Stegostoma tigrinum: one gene and its partner. The protein of the gene in region 1 interacts with the protein of each later gene in a pairwise test. Links are inferred from orthologs where the notes say so. Each region holds a gene or a part of one and is shown in the gene's direction. Other genes may lie near its edges.

Region 1 (8,027 bases):
TTTTGAAAATTCATAGATTATCAAAGCATCCTAAAATAATTCAACTGTAATTAATCATTTGTGATTTTACGTATGCTTGTATTTTACTAACTTCTATTCACAGAATTTATTTTAAAACATAACCGTACTCTCTAGGAGGGACAATCTCCTTGCCCAATGTGTATTATGCCTGGCAGAGCAACAAGATCCCAGTCTCAGTGCTGAGCTGATCCATAAGACCATCAGGTGCCTTTTCCACCTCCTCCAGCAAGATGCCACCACCAGACACATATTCCCCTCCCCTCCCTGGTCCGCCTCTGCAGGGACCATTTCCTCTGGGACGTCCTGGTCCACATTTCTTTCACCCCCAATCCTCCCCTCAGCCCTACGGCACATTCCCCTGTAACCGGTGAAGGTGCAACACCTGCCCATTTACCTCCTCCCTCCCCAGTATCCACGGTCCAAACATACCTTTCAGGTGAAGTAACACTTCACCTGCACTTCCCAGAATTTATTCGCTGCTCACAATGTGGTCTCCTCTATATTGGGGAAAACAAAGCATAGACTGAATGACCGCTTCGCAGACCATCTACATTCTGCTCGCAAAAGAGACCCTGAACTACCTGTTGCCTGTCACTTTAATATACTATTATGTTCCCTGTTCAACATGTCTGTCTCTGGCTTGCTACAGTGTTCTAGCAAAGCTCAATGCAAGCTGGAAAAACAACACACAATAAAAACCAAAATAACTGCAGATACTGTAAATCAGGAACAAAAACAAAGTTGCTGGAAAAGCTCAGCAGGTCTGGCAGCATCTGTAAAGGAAAAACAGAGTTAACGTTTTGGGTCCAGTGAGTCTTCCTCAGAACTGGAACTTTCCTCTGGAGAAACAACACCTCATTTTCCGCTTGGGCACCCTACAGCCTTCCAGACTCAAAATCGAGTTCAATCATATTAGGGCCTAAACTCTCCCATGTCCCAGCCCCCCACCCAACACACCAGGCCTTGTTACCACATAGCCTGCCATTACACACCACCTGTCGTTAGTAACTAACAGTCCCCCTTAACAACTATTCACCTTCCCAGCCAGATTCTTATCAACTCGTTTGTCTGTCCAACTGTTCTTCTCTCTCTTTAGGCTCTATCCTATCATTTACTCTCTACCCCACCCACCTCCCTATTTTCTGCATATAAACGGACATTTCCCAGCCACCATCAGTTCTGAGGAAGGGTCACTGGACCCAAAACATTAACTCTGATTTATTTCTTCACAGTTACTGCCAGACCTACTGAGCTTTTATAGGAACTTTGTTTTTGTTCCTGATTTACAGCATCCGCAGTTTATTTGATTTTTATTCTGTGCTGAGTTTGCTGACTGTATCCCAGGAATCTACAATTGACTTGGTGTCCCAGGGGGAAAAAGCAACTTCCACTTATTATAGAGTCATACAGCATGGAAACAGACCCTTTGGTCGTCCATGCCCACAAGGTTTCCTAACCTGAACTAGTCCCTTTTGCCTGCATTTGGCCCATATCCCTCTAAACCTTTCCCAGCCATGTACCTGTACAAATGTCTTTCAAATGTTGTAATTTACCCACCTCTATGACTTCCACTTGCAGCGCATTCCAAATACATACCATACTCTGTGTGGAAAAAGTTGCCCCTCAGGTCCCTTTTAAATCTTGCCCCTCTCACCTTAAACCTATGATTTAGACTCCCCTACCCTGAGGAAAACACCTTGTCCATTCACCTTATCTATGCTTATTCACTTTATCTCCACCACTCTCCAAGGTCACCACTCAGTCTCCGACGCTCCAGGGAAAAATATCCCGGTTAAACCTAGCGCCTCCATCCTTGTAAATTTTTTTTTGCACCCTTTCCAGTTTAATGACATCCTTTCTGTATCAGGGCGACTGGAATTGGATGCAGTGTTCAAGTACCATGGACAATGGGACCAATTGAAAACTGAGATTGCTATATTTTACATTGAGGGCTTCCCCCAACTACAGACAACAGGGTGTGAGCAGAGGGAGGAAAAGTTGACAGAGAGGAAAGAAACAAACACTGAACGATCCTTCAGGCCAAAAGACAGATTCAGCGGCCAGTACTCAAATTCCACCTGTTGTCTGTCTATCAGCCCTGGGAACAAACTCATCCAGAGGTAAATCAGAGGAGATTGTAATCCTGGGCAACCCACCATCTTCTCACCTTCACCCTGATGAAGGCTTTCTAAATGAGTGGACAGCTCACAGAATCCCTACAGTGTGGAAACAGGCCCTTAGGCACAACAAGTCCACACCGACCCTCACAGCATCCCACCCAGACCCATTCCCCTATGACCTACCTAATCTACACATCCCTGAACACTATGGGCAATTTAGCATGGCCAATCCACCCTAACCTGCAAATCTTTGGACTGTGGGAGGAAACCCACGCAGACACAGGGAGAATGTGCGAACTCCACACAGACAGTTGCCCAAGGGTGGGATTGAACCCTGACGCTGTGAGGCAGCAGTGCCAGCCACTGAGCACCGGTATCACCATTAAGGAACTTGTTGTGCCATTATTTTCCCACAGTGGGCTCGCCAGGTTGGATTTTGAAGTATGTTCAAGGCTGAGACTGATTTTTAATCAATAAGGGGATCAAGGCTTATCAGGAAAAGGTCGGAGAGTGGAATTAAGGATTATCAGATCAGCCCATGATTCCATGGACTGGCAGCGCAGACTCGATGGTTTGAAAGGCCTTCTCCAGCTCCGATGTCTCATGGTCAACTGCCCCCCAGCTCAGATGCACTAAACATAGTCTTCAGTTTGCACACCTCTAAGTGGCCCTGAAATCTGAGCTTTTTGATGTCACGTGGTGGCTGGATTTTTCCGGGGCGGGGGGGGAAGAGAGAGACAAAATTGGGACTGGGAGAAAACGTGAGGGAGAGAGAACAGAGGAAGGGGAGGATTGGGATGGGGAGGAAGCGATAAGGCAAAAAAAGAGGGTTTGGCAGAAAAGGGGTGGGGAAGAGAGATAAAGATGAAAGGAATGTGCAGCTGCACATTGGGGGTTGCAGTTATTTTCTGCGCTTTAATCCACCTTCCACAAACTCCCTCCTGTCCCTCCCCCCACAACGCCAAAATAGCTGTCCCCTTCCCTTTGCATTAAAATGACTCATTGACAGGGTCGCTCAGTGCTGGTTGTCTCTCTGCTTGCGCTTGTTCGTCCTGCAGGTCTGGGCATCGCTGGTATTCACACCCTGTCTCGCCCTCCCATCCGTGAAGCGTCAGGGGCACAGCTCAGTGACACTTTGTGGTGTTGGTGTGAGCCTCGGACAGAACGCGGGTAAGGAGAGTCACTTTTCTCTTCCTTTAGAGGATATTTACAGAGACACCAGCCATCTGCATTTCCCAAACTGAATTTAATTCTGAGACTCATCGAGGCCCTGAGTTTACACAAATCGCTCCATTATCACGCCCACTCTTGCCCTCAGTGCAGATGAGCCGCTCTTCTTTGTAAAAAAAAATCATCTCACAGCCTGAAAGGAAAGGTTAACCCCGTGGTTGCTGTCGGAAGTGTAGATGGTCTGTGATTATCACAGGGAGTTGAAATGCAGATTAACTGGGGAGTAGCGTCCAGTCAATTCTTACCAAATGCAGTCAGCAGATGTGCTTGGAAATTGATTTTTTTAAATATAAAAAAACCTCTCGGGGATCTCGGTTCAAAGACTTTCCGCCATGAAACACGAGGTTTAGAAAGAACCACGTTCTCTCAGAAGCAGGAAGCACACACTTCCTGTACATAAACATGGCTTGTTGTAAACTGGACTGGGAGGTGAGTGAGGTTTTTTTTGGCCCTGGGTATCGATTTTTTTTGTCCTGTTTCCTGACCGCACTGGCAAACGCTGCAACGATTAGTACAGTCTAACAGACTGTGACGTGTTCACAGTTCAGTTGTTAGGATATAAAACAGTTAAGGCTGCCTTCCCTCAGAGAGCAGCACCCCTCAACTGGATTCGGGAACTCCAATCTTTATTAATCCATATGCTTGGTCTTCACATTGTAGGGCTGTCTGGAGTGGGGTTTGAACCCAGTAGCTTCTGATTCAGAGAGCGATCACAGGCAGTTGCACCACATGCACCTCCACTCTCCCCTACAGGGGGTGCTCCACCGGCCCCACCCTTGTCCTCCTGGGACTACATGAACTCATGGTCCTCTGTATTAAATGGGTGCTTCCCCCTCACACTACCCCCATTCAAAAAGAGTCACATCAGCTGTATTGTTCACCCTGCCCCTTAAATGGGCCACATTAGCCATCTCACCCTCTCCAGGGCCCTTTAAAGGGACTACATTCATATCCCACCTCTTACTAAATGTGGTATATCTGATTTTTTTTTTCCTCTGTATTCTATCCCATATAGGGGGCAGATTGACACCCTCTCTCTTCCCTTCACATCCAGGACTTTGCAATGCCATGTTCTTGGAACGCTGGGTCTTCCCAGTCATTGACCGGCCTGGGTTTTCTGATATCCGTTGTGTTTGAGAGACAGCACTGCCGACCCCAGCGGGTACTGAAACTCTGGATGAGTCTAGTACCATGCTGTGGTTTGTTCAGTTATTTGGCAACATACGGCAGTGCCCAGAAATAGGAATTTGGAAATATTGTTCCCTCCCACCTCAGAGGCTCGTGTTCCAGGGATTACTTGGCTGTGGGCAGTTCCTGCCTTTGGGGCAATCTTAGAATGATTTTATGAATAACCTTAAACCGTGTTCACATTGGCCCAGAGAATGAGAACGGAGTGGATGTCACTGAATGCCAAGGGAAATATCAGTCTCTCAAAGAATTCAAGAAAGACCACAAACAAATCTCTGAGGGATATTACAAGGAAACAGAACTCCAGTGAAATGTAATTGGAATTTCTTTCTTAGGCACAGATGATTGAGATAGAGATGTAGAATAAAGGCAGAGTAATTGGGATTAACAGAGAAACAGAGAGAGAGAGAGAGAAACAGAAAATTACAGACAGAAATAGAGACAGAGACACTTTAGGGAAGCACTAAATATGAAACACAGACGCTGAGAGTGAGAAAGGCAGTGTGTGTCTCGCATTAAACTGTATCTGGCTGAGTCTGTAAGCACGCTCTCACTGTCAGTGTGAGGTCAACATGTGAAGGGGTCACGCTGCAGTGTGTGTGATCCTCTTGTCCCTCTCAAACCTGGATCCTTCCTCTCAATCTGCCAAGTCACCCTGACCTCCCAGGGTGTTCGTGCTGAGTCACGCTCTCTCAGCTTCTTCCCTCTTGCTCAGGCTCCTCCCTGGCTTTTTAACCACTGATTTAATCAGGAAACACCCAGGAGAGTGTGCAGTTTGCTGGGAGTCTTTATCCTCACAGAGCTCATTCCCGTGTAAAACGGCTTTCTCCCTGGTGTCTGATCCAACAGGTAAGCTGGACGTTTGATTGCATAAAATTAGGCTGTCATTATCCTGTCTCCCCCGCAGTGTTTTTGCTTATTTTCATTCCTCAGCACAAAGGGCTCATTTATCACGTGTGCCTACGTTTGGCGGATGGTCTCACGTTGTCTTCTCTTGAGCCGAGTCACTGTAGAGACAGTGGGCGCTATATTAACACAGGTTCCAACATGTACCACACCACCTCCTCCCCCCCCCCCCCCCTAAACACCAATTCAGCCGTCTGCACCTCAACTGGAGCACCATACCCAAACTCAGCCAACTCGATGTAAACTCTTGTAGCTTGTGTTAGACGTACAGCCCCATTACTGGTTCTCCTGGCAACCAGGGATCTCCCAGCTCATTCCCTGCTGCTCTGTTGTGGCTCAGAAGGTATCCTGGTAAACAAAGTGCTGAGTTCCATTTTTCTTTTCCTCACTCTGTTTTACCTTTGATAACTGGTTGCTGCGCAGAGACATGTGGATGGAAGGAGTAGGTCAGTATTGGTCTCAACGCTGACTTCCTTCACTTCGCCATCCTTTACGAATGTTGTCTGGATGGAGTTAAAAGGAGTAATTTAACCTTACATCTTCAAACCCACCAATTTTCTGGTTGTTTACAATTCATCAGGCCTTCAATGAGTCTCCCCCACATGAGAGACAAGACACTGGTTAAGAACATAGAACAATACAGTACAGGAACAGGCCCTTTCGCCCACAATGCACAGACCTATTCTAAACTAATCCCATTTGCCTGCATATGGTTGGTATCCTTTTGTCCCTGCCTGCTCATGTTTATCTAAATGCCTTTTAAATGTTACTAATGTATCTGCTTCCGCCATCTCCCCAGTAGCGTATTCCAGGCACCTATCACCCTCCATGTTTTTAAAAAAAAAGGACTTTCTACGCATATCTCCTTTAACCTTTCCCCATCTCACCTTAAACCTGTTGTATTTCCATCCTGGCTCCCCACCCTAACCGTGCCCTTCATAATTTTATATACATCTATCAGGTCGCCCCGCAGCCTCCAATGCTCTCGTGAAAATAATCCAAAGCTTATCCAACCTCTCCTTGTGGTTGACTCACTCCGATCCAGGCAACATCCCAGTGAACATCATCTGCACCCTCTCCAAAGCCTCCACATCCTCATGATAATGTGGTGACCAGAACTGCACGTGATACTCCAAACATGCCCTGACTGAACTCTAAAGCAGTTGCAACATGACTTGCTAACTTTTATACTCATTGCCCTGATTGATGAAGAACAACATGCCTTCTTTACCACCTTATCCACTTGGTTTGTCACTTTTGCAACTTGCATCCCAAGATCCCTCTGTATATCGATGCTGCTCAGGGTCCTGCTATTTACTGTATCATTTCCTCTTGCACTTGACCTCCCAAATTACACCACCTCACACTTGTTTGGATTAAACTCCATCTGCCATTTCTCCACCCAACTTTCCATCTGATCCATTTCCTCTGCATCCTTTGATATCCTTCCTCGCTATCCATAACTCCACCAATTTTTGTGTCATTTCACTTGAAGTGGCAGTGTTTTCAGGGGAGTCTCCATTCTCTCGGCCACTTGGCTACAGATCCGAGACCAGAGGCTCTGCCTGCCAAAGACAGGTTCTACAGTTTAACACAGAGTGGAGCTGGAGGAACACAGCAGGTCAGACAACATCAACAGAGTAGGAGAGTAGGAAAGGATCGGAACCCTTCTGAACTGACGTGATCCGAAACGTCAGCATTTCCACTCCTTTGATGCTGCTGTGTTCCTCCAGCTCCACACTGAAAGACTCTGACTTCAGCATCTGCTGCTCTTGCTGTACCAGGTTCTACTGTTGTTGTCCACATTCCCATTGGTCAAGTCAATGGGCAGTGCTTATACCCTTTGCCTTTGAGCGTCTGTATCAGCGAGATCCCCCTCTCTCACCCCAATCCCTTCCATCGTACTCACTGGATCTCCCAGTTTCTCCAGGGCTCTCCTCCCACTGACTGCCTGCCCGTTTGTACAGAGGTCAGCCACCAGACAGACAGTCTGAATACTTCAGCCAGCCAATTCAGACGTGAACATATAAATAAGGAACAAGAGGAAGCCGCTAGGCCCATCAATCCCCCTCAATCGTTCAATAAGATGATACCAGATCTGATTTTAAACTCAATCCTGCATTCCTTATATCCCTGATAATTTATTATCCACTTGGTAATCAAGAATCTATCCACTCCTGTCTTTTAAGGTATGAAAGGTTTCACCAGCTTTTGAGGAAGTGAATTCTAAAGACTCTCAACTTCGGAAATCTAGTGAATTGTTTTGTGGACCGTAATAGACAGAATCCCTGATATTTGTGTCGACTTGTATCCATGACAATATGTCTTTTTACAGTCATTAACCTGACAAAAAGATACTGAGGGATATTCCTGGGGGTTGGAGCCGTAGAGACAGGTGGTATAGTCAATGGACGGCTATGTGACTGTGTTAACGTTACAAATAGCTGGACCAGTAATCCAAACCATTCAAAACCCACCATTTTCTCAATTCTGTTCATAAAACCTACAAATGAAGAACATGCTACAAGTGACATGAAGGCAGTCAGTTGGTTGCAAAAACCC
Region 2 (8,027 bases), on another chromosome or scaffold:
TGAGATTAGAAACAGGAAAGGAGAGGTCACCCTGTTGGGAGTTTTCTATAGGCCTCCGAATAGTTCCAGAGATATAGAGGAAAGGATAGCAAAGATGATTCTCGATAGGCGTGAGAGAGATGGGGTAGTTGTCATGGGGGACTTCAACTTTCCAGATATTGACTGGGAACACTATAGTTCCAGTACTATAGATGGGTCAGTTTTTGTCCAGAGTGTGCAGGAGGGCTTCCTGACACAGTATGTAGATAGGCCAACAAGGGGCGAAGCCACATTAGATTTGGTACTGGGTACTGAGCCCAGCCAGGTGTTAGATTTGGAAGTAGGTGAGCACTTTGGTGATAGTGATCACAATTCTGTTATGTTTACTTTAGTGATGGAAAGGGATAGGTGTATACCACTGGGCAAGAGTTATAGCTGGGGGAAAGGCAATTACAATGAGATTAGGCAAGATTTAGGGAGCATAGGATGGGGAAGGAAACTGCAGGGGATGGGCACATTAGAAATGTGGAGCTTATTCAAGGAAAAGCTCCCGTGTGTCCTAGATAAATATGTACCTGTCAGGCAGGGAGGAAGCTGTAGAGTGCGGGAGCCATGGTTTACGAAGGACGTGGAATCTCTGGTCAAGAGGAAGAAGAAGGCTTATATTAGGATGAGATGCGAAGGCTCAGTTAGGGCACTTGAGGGCTACGAGGTAGCCCGGAAAGACCTAAAGAGAGAGCTCAGAAGAGCCAGGAGGAGACATGAGAAGTTGTTGGCGGATAGGATCGGGGTTAAACCCTAAGGCTTTCTATAGGTATTTAAGGAATAAAAGAATGACGAAAGCAAGATTAGGCCCAATCAAGGATAGTAGTGGTAAGTTGTGTGTGGAGTCAGATAAGATAGGGGAAGCGCTAAATGAATACTTTTCAACAGTATTCACTCTAGAAAACGACAATGTTGTCGAGGAGAATACTGAGATACAGGCTACTAGACTAGCTGGGATTGAAGTTTACACGGAAGAGGTATTAGAAATCCTTCAGAAGGTGAAGATAGATAAGTCCCCTGGGCCGGATGGGATTTATCCTCGGATCCTCTGGGAAGCTAGGAAGGAGATCGCCGAGCCTTTGGCATTGATCTTTAGCTCAGCTCATTGTCTACAGGGATAGTGCCAGATGACTGGAGGATAGCAAATGTGGTTCCCCTGTTCAAGAAGGAGAGTAGAGACAACCCTGGTAATTATAGACCAGTCAGCCTTACCTCAGTTGTTGGTAAAGTGTTGGAAAAGGTTATAAGGGATAGGATTTATATCATCTAGAAAAGAATAAATTGATTGGGATAGTCAGCACGGTTTTGTGAAGGGAAGGTCGTGCCTCGCAAACCTTATTGAGTTCTTTGAGAAGGTGACCAAACAGGTAGATGAGAGTAAACCGGTTGATGTGGTATATATGGATTTCAGCAAGGCGTTTGATAAGGTTCCCCACAATAGGCTATTGTACAAAATCCGGAGGAATGGAATTGTGGGAGATATAGCAGTTTGGATCGGAAATTGGCTTGCTGAAAGAAGACAGAGGGTGGTAGTTGATGGGAAATGTTCATCCTGGAGTCCAGTTACTAGTGGTGTACCACAAGGGTCGGTGTTGGGTCCACTGCTGTTTGTCATTTTTATAGATGACCTGGATGACTGTGTAGAAGGATGGGTTAGTAAATTTGCAGACGACACTAAGGTCGGTGGAGTTGTGGATAGTGACGAAGGATGCTGTAGGTTGCAGAGACATAGATAAGCTGCAGAGCTGGGCTGAGAGGTGGCAAATGGAGTTTAATGCAGACAAGTGTGAGGTGATGCACTTTGGTAGAAGTAACCGGAAGGCAAAGTACTGGACTAATGGTAAGATTCTTGGTAGTGTAGATGAGCAGAGAGATCTGTGTCCATGTACACAGATCCTTGAAAGTTGCCACCCAGGTTGACAGGGCTGTTAAGAAGGCATACAGTGTTTTAGCTTTTATTAATAGAGGGATTGAGTTCTGGAACCAAGAGGTTATGCTGCAGCTGTACAAAACTCTGGTGTGGCCGCACTTGGAGTATTGTGTACAGTTCTGGTCACCGCATTATAAGAAGGATGTGGAAGCTTTGGAAAGGGTGCAGAGGAGATTTACTAGGATGTTGCCTGGTATGGAGGGAAGGTCTTATGAGGAAAGGCTGAGGGACTTGAGGCTGTTTTCATTAGAGAGGAGAAGGTTGAGAGGTGACTTAATTGAAACATATAAAATAATCAGAGGGTTAGATAGGGTGGATAGGGAGAGCCTTTTTCCTCGGATGGTGATGGTGAGCACGAGGGGGCATAGCTTTAAATTGAGGGGTGAAAGATATAGGACAGATGTCAGAGGTAGTTTCTTTACTCAGAATAGTAAGGGAATGGAAGGCTTTTCCTGCAACGGTAGTAGATTCGCCAACTTTAGGTACATTTAAGTCATCATTGGATAAGCATATGGACGTACATGGAATAGTGTAGGTTAGATGGGCTTGAGATCGGTATGACAGGTCGGCACAACATCGAGGGCCGAAGGGCCTGTACTGTGCTGTAATGTTCTATAAATGATTGAATTGGCTTTATTGTCACATGTACTCAAATGAGCACAGTGAAAAGTTCATAAGCTACCACTTACAACTAGTCACCATCCGTTCGAGTTTTACCTGTTGATCGGCCATAAAATTGGATTGTGTTATCTTTCTGCGCTGAAGGCTATTTCGTGAGCTGAGCTAAGGTCTGGCACTGCTGGGAAATGGTTCAGACTCTCAACACTGCAGTCTGACCTCTCTCTCTCTCTCTCTCTCACGCATACAGATCCCAGGCTCTCCTGATCAGACAGGATACAACCATCCAGGCAAACAGAGGCAACTCATTCAGAAGGTGCTCAGCTCTGTCCCGTGCAGAACACTGTGCTCTGTGGGTAGGTAGGTGATTAACTCCACCTTCGGCGAAACGCGGAGTATTTGCCTGATTGTCAGCAATTGTTTTAATTGGATTAGGAAGCTGGTCCAACAGTAGATCGGAAACATTGTGAACGCGTTGGGCTTTGTGCAATTTTTAATCGAGTGGCGTCAAGAAAACTCTTTTCACCTGGAGTGTTGGTGAAGGCTGTGAAGAGTATCGTAGGCGCGCTGCGTTTCTAATTACTGTACACGGTAACGAGTATGTTCGAGCAGAGTGCCCCGTGGCGAAGGTACTCCGGGTGAAATGCCTAACCAGCCCCACTCCTCTCTGTCAGTCCAAACTCTCAGCAGACTGGTCTCCTCACTGAAACCGCAGTGCTAGAGAATCCAAGATAATAAAGTGTGAGGCTGGATGAACACAGCGGGCCAAGCAGCATCTCAGGAGCACAAAAGCTGACGTTTCGTGCTTAGACCCTTCATCCCGAAACGTCAGCTTTTGTGCTCCTGAGATGCTGCTTGGCCTGCTGTGTTCATCCAGCTCCACATTTTGTTATCTGAGACCGCAGTGTTGCCTTGTTTCTGACTTTGCAGCCTGATAATTGAACGGAAATTGCAGTTTCTTCCACAAATGTTTTACTGCTTTCACGTGTTGTCTGGGGACCAGCGTTGAGAGTTAAAGGTCACCTCATCTCTGATCCGCTTGTTTAAACAATGCAACCGGGGATAAGTTATCTGCAGAGTCCCTTGCTAACACTGAAGCAGAAAATCTCGTCAGTTGAAATCGTCCTGTCTGGCCGAAGCTTCCTTCATTGTCCAGTTATTTTAAATTGAACGTTTTACTTAAAACCTTGATAAGGGGAATGTTCCACAAGAACATGTCTGTGTGTTTTAGAACTGGATTTAGTATCTTCCTCACAGCATTTATATCTAAATGAAGTGGGATTGAGTTTGAAGAAAATGTTCAGCTATGCAGCCCTCTCCTAACACGAGGACATCACAGAGCTCAGTGATTGTGAGCAATGCTGTAGTCAAGTCTATGCCCCAGAGCAAATATTTTTCTTTCCCCCATTCATCTTGACTGGGGAAGAAATATTGACCAGGCCTTTTCAGAGCATTACCCAGCTTTTCTTCAACATGGTGCAGTGGGAGCTGGGTACATCTACCTGAGGGGGCAGCTGGAGTCTCAGTTTAGTGTCTCATCCAAACAATGCATGTAGAACTTGGATAAAAGTGTTCAAGGAAACCTTGACTTCAACTAGGGGTTGGGATGAAAACCAGAACCACTGCGTCATTCTTATTACAGTGGTGTTTTGATTGGATTCATATCAGTGCATTGTGAGCATCAAACTGAAAAGAAAATGTTTACCATGCACTTCCTTTCTCTGGGAAAGACACCCCTTTGAAAATTTATATTTTTTTATTATAAGAGGTCCTGCTAAACAACCCTATCAAGATTACGCATAGATGTTTCCCCCACAGAATGAGGCCATTTGGCCCGTCATCTTTGTACTGGTCAACAAAGATCTGACTATACTAATCCCATTTTCCAATTCTTGGCCCATAGCCCTGGAAGTTATGGCAATGCAAGTCAATACCTAAATACTGCTTCAATGTTGAGTTTCTGATTCAACCACCCTTTCAATTTGCAAGTTAGAAACACCCACTATCTGCTCCTGTGAAAAGATTTCTCTTTGAGTCTCCACTTAGCATTTTACCACTTATTGACCCCTTTACTAATGGGGGAAAAAATGCCTTGCTATCTGGCTTGTCTATGCCTTGCATAATCTTGTACTCATCTGTCTGATCTCCTCTCAACTCCAATTCATCCAATCATTCCCCATAGCTTAGACCCTCTAACCCAGACAGCATCCTACTAAGTCTCCTCTGCACCCTCACTAGTGCAATCACATCCTTCCACAATCACATGTGGTGACCAGAACTGCATGCAGTGCTCCAATTGTGGTTTATCCAACAATTTATGGTTTTCATAGAAAAATCAATGGAAGCACAATATGCAAACACCATCCATAATCCTGGCAGATCTTATATTTATTCTGTTAACCCTAGTATTTATTTTGTTCAATCATTATTGGCCAATTTTTACTGAGATGGCCTGAAATCTCTGAGTCCAGCAGACTTACATTGGAATTGCAATTGGTGTGTGATCTCGTGACTTAAGAACTCGCTTTGACACCAAATGCAAGTAGTTAGTGATGCAGAATGACCAGAGTGCAAAGAGGAGGTGGAGAGTTATCTACATTGGGAAAAAATATCTCTTTGGTTCTTGGTTTTGTTTTGAACATATAAAACAAACAGGAAGCTCTCCAACCAAATAGACAGGAGACTTATTTCAATAACTTAGAGACAGTAGGGACTATAGATGCTGAAAGCTGGAATCAATAAATGTGGAGCTGGTAAATGGGAGGGTCAGTGGCCTAGTGGTGTTATCGTTGGACTGTTAATCCAGATAACATTCTGGGAACCCAGGTTCAAATGCTGCCACAGCAGATGGTGGAATTTGAATACAATAAAAATATCTGGAATTAAGAATCTATGATGACCATGACCCCATTGTTGATTGCTGGAAAAACCCCATCTGGTTCACTAATGTCCTTTTAGGGAAGGAAACTGCCATCCTTACCTCGTCTCGCCTACATGTTACTCCAGACCCACGGCAATAGGGTTGACTTTTAACTGCCCTCTAAGGGATGGGCAGTAAATGCTGCCTCACCATTGATGCCCTCATCCTGTGAATGATTAAAGGTAAAGCACAGCAGGTCAGACAGCATCCATAGGATTTTGGACCGAAACATCGACTTTCCTTTTCCTTGGATGCTGTCTGACCTGCTGTGCTTTTCCAGCTCCACATTTATTGATGCTTATTTCAATATTTCACTTGGTGCTCTACATTACTCATTAAAGTTCAAGCATTGCTGAGTGTTGAGTGTGGACTGAAATAACTAGTAGCGAGTTTTGAGAAGATTTGTAGCTCGGGTTGAGATTCTGGATGTGAGTTTGCTCGCTGAGCTGGAAGGTTAGTTTTCAGATGTTTTGTCACCATTCTAGGTAACATTATCAGTGAGCCTCTGACCAAGCGCTGGTGTTATGTCCTGCTTTCTATTTATCTGTTTAGGTTTCCTTGGGTTGGTGATGTCATTTCCTGTTCTTTTTCTCAGAGGGTGGTAGATTGATTTGGAGCCAATGTGTTTGTTGATGGAGTTCCGGTTGGAATGCCATGCTGCTAGGAATTCTCATGCATGTCTCTGTTTGGCTTGTCCTAGGATGGATGTGTTGTCCCAATCAAAGTGGTGTCCTTCCTCATCTGTATGTAAGGGTACTCGTGATAGTGGGTCATGTCATTTTGTGGCTAGTGATCCTGAAAGGGGAACTGTTCAAATTGGCATGATCATGTTTTGAATGTGAATGCTGCTCTTTCTGTGTTCTTCCAGTCTGCCTAAAAATTGCACTTCCCACCCGCACTCATCTCCTGATCAACCAGGTTTTACAAAACATTCACAGCTGCCCAATTTTCACCCAAAACAGAATTCAACACCCTGACTACACCCCAGACCCTCCCAACCAATCCACCCAATTTAGCAATGTGAAGATATTCCACAGAAAATATTCATGCCTCGCCTAGGATCATAGCCAAAAAAAACTTTCACCTTTTAACACAAGTTAAATCTATAGGACAGTTCCCCAAATCACTGCGTTGAATCCAGGTCAGAGCTCGGATTGACCATGTTTTCTAGGGTTTACAGTTTACTGTTTTTCTTTCTTTATTCATTAAGGGGATGAATGTGATACTAGCCAGGCAGCATTTATTGCCCATCCCTGATTGTCCAGAGGGCAGGTAAGAGTCAACCACATTGTGTGGGTCTGGAGTCTCATGTAGGCCAGACCAGGTAAGGATGGTAGTTTCCTTCCCTAAAGGACGTTAGTATGTTGGGCTTAGGGATCTATCATATGCGTTATCGTTTTACAAGTTCACGACACATTCATCACTCTAAATTTTAAATATACTTCTGAGAAAAACAGGTTTGCCTGCTCAGTTTTCCTTGTTCTAAGGGCAAAATTCAAAAGCAATGTGCAAGCAGTTGATGATGGAGCCTCAAGTAGGTCGTTGTCAGCAATACAAGCAGTTAAGTGCTGGAAGATGTCAACAATGGTCAGCAGGATGAGGAATTGAAGAAACAACAATTTATTTGTGGCAAGGTTTCTTCAATGCATTCTTTACTAGAAAATTGCCAAAGTGCTATTTATCAAAGGATGTACAGTACTGTCATTTATAAAGAATGAAGAGGAAATCCAGCATTTCGAACTCGGGCACTTTGTAAAAAAAAAATACAAAGGATAGACAAATAGCTGTACTGCATGCAGAGATTAGAAAGTTTATGATGGAAGTCAGCCAGATCAGAAAATATTATTTAAATAATTCCACCACGGTCCACAGAGATCAGGTGAGATTGAAACATCATGACAATCAGGTGATGGAGTAAACAGAAAGAATTGGGGTCATAGATTTAAGGGAAGGAGCAGGAGACAAACAAGTGATCCTGTGGATTTTTTTTCACCCAGAAGTTGGAGTTATCTGGAACATGACTACCTGAAAGAATTTTGGAAAGAGTACCCTAACAACATTTCAGAATTATTTAGATAAACACTTAAAACACCATAGCAAACAAGGTTACAGGCCAAGTACTGGAAAAAGGGATTAGAATAGATAGGCGCTTGATGACCGGTACAGAATTGATTGATCAAAGGGCCTCTTTCTTTGTAAAGCGGAGATTTTCAGGTCCGATCGATTGAGGTACATTAAGACTATGGAGTCTAGCAGCAATGTAGGCAAAGAGAGATTTTCTTGTTAGAGATAATGGGAACTACAGATGCTGGAGAATTCCAAGATAATAAAATGTGAGGCTGGATGAACACAGCAGGCCAAGCAGCATCTCAGGAGCACAAAAGCTGACGTTTCGGGCCTAGACCCTTCATCAGAGATTTTCTTGTTAGAAGCCTGGTTGCTAGATAATGGGGCTTGGTGATGCAGAACTGAAAGAGAATGTTCACAATGTCATCTCTAGGGGTGACAGACATGAAAGCTAAAGGCTTGGTTGCA

The links.
Region 2: the proteins of oxidative stress-induced growth inhibitor 1-like (region 1) and bcar3 interact in binary tests that used the Homo sapiens proteins (3 or more experiments, as listed by UniProt). The link is inferred for Stegostoma tigrinum from reciprocal best matches to the Homo sapiens genes OSGIN1 and BCAR3.

Annotation. Positions count from the first base shown.
Region 1 is NC_081369.1:3,055,163-3,063,189, forward strand, and holds the start of oxidative stress-induced growth inhibitor 1-like, read left to right. Parts: upstream 1-3,186; 5' UTR 3,187-3,311; intron 3,312-5,286; exon of another isoform or gene 5,287-5,408; intron 5,409-8,027. UniProt on the Homo sapiens protein: Monooxygenase catalytic activity. Involved in regulation of cytokinesis; promotes RHOA activity, probably acting locally at the midbody in late cytokinesis.
Region 2 is NC_081361.1:85,037,347-85,045,373, forward strand, and holds the start of bcar3 (breast cancer anti-estrogen resistance protein 3), read left to right. Parts: upstream 1-2,770; 5' UTR 2,771-2,932; intron 2,933-8,027. UniProt on the Homo sapiens protein: Acts as an adapter protein downstream of several growth factor receptors to promote cell proliferation, migration, and redistribution of actin fibers.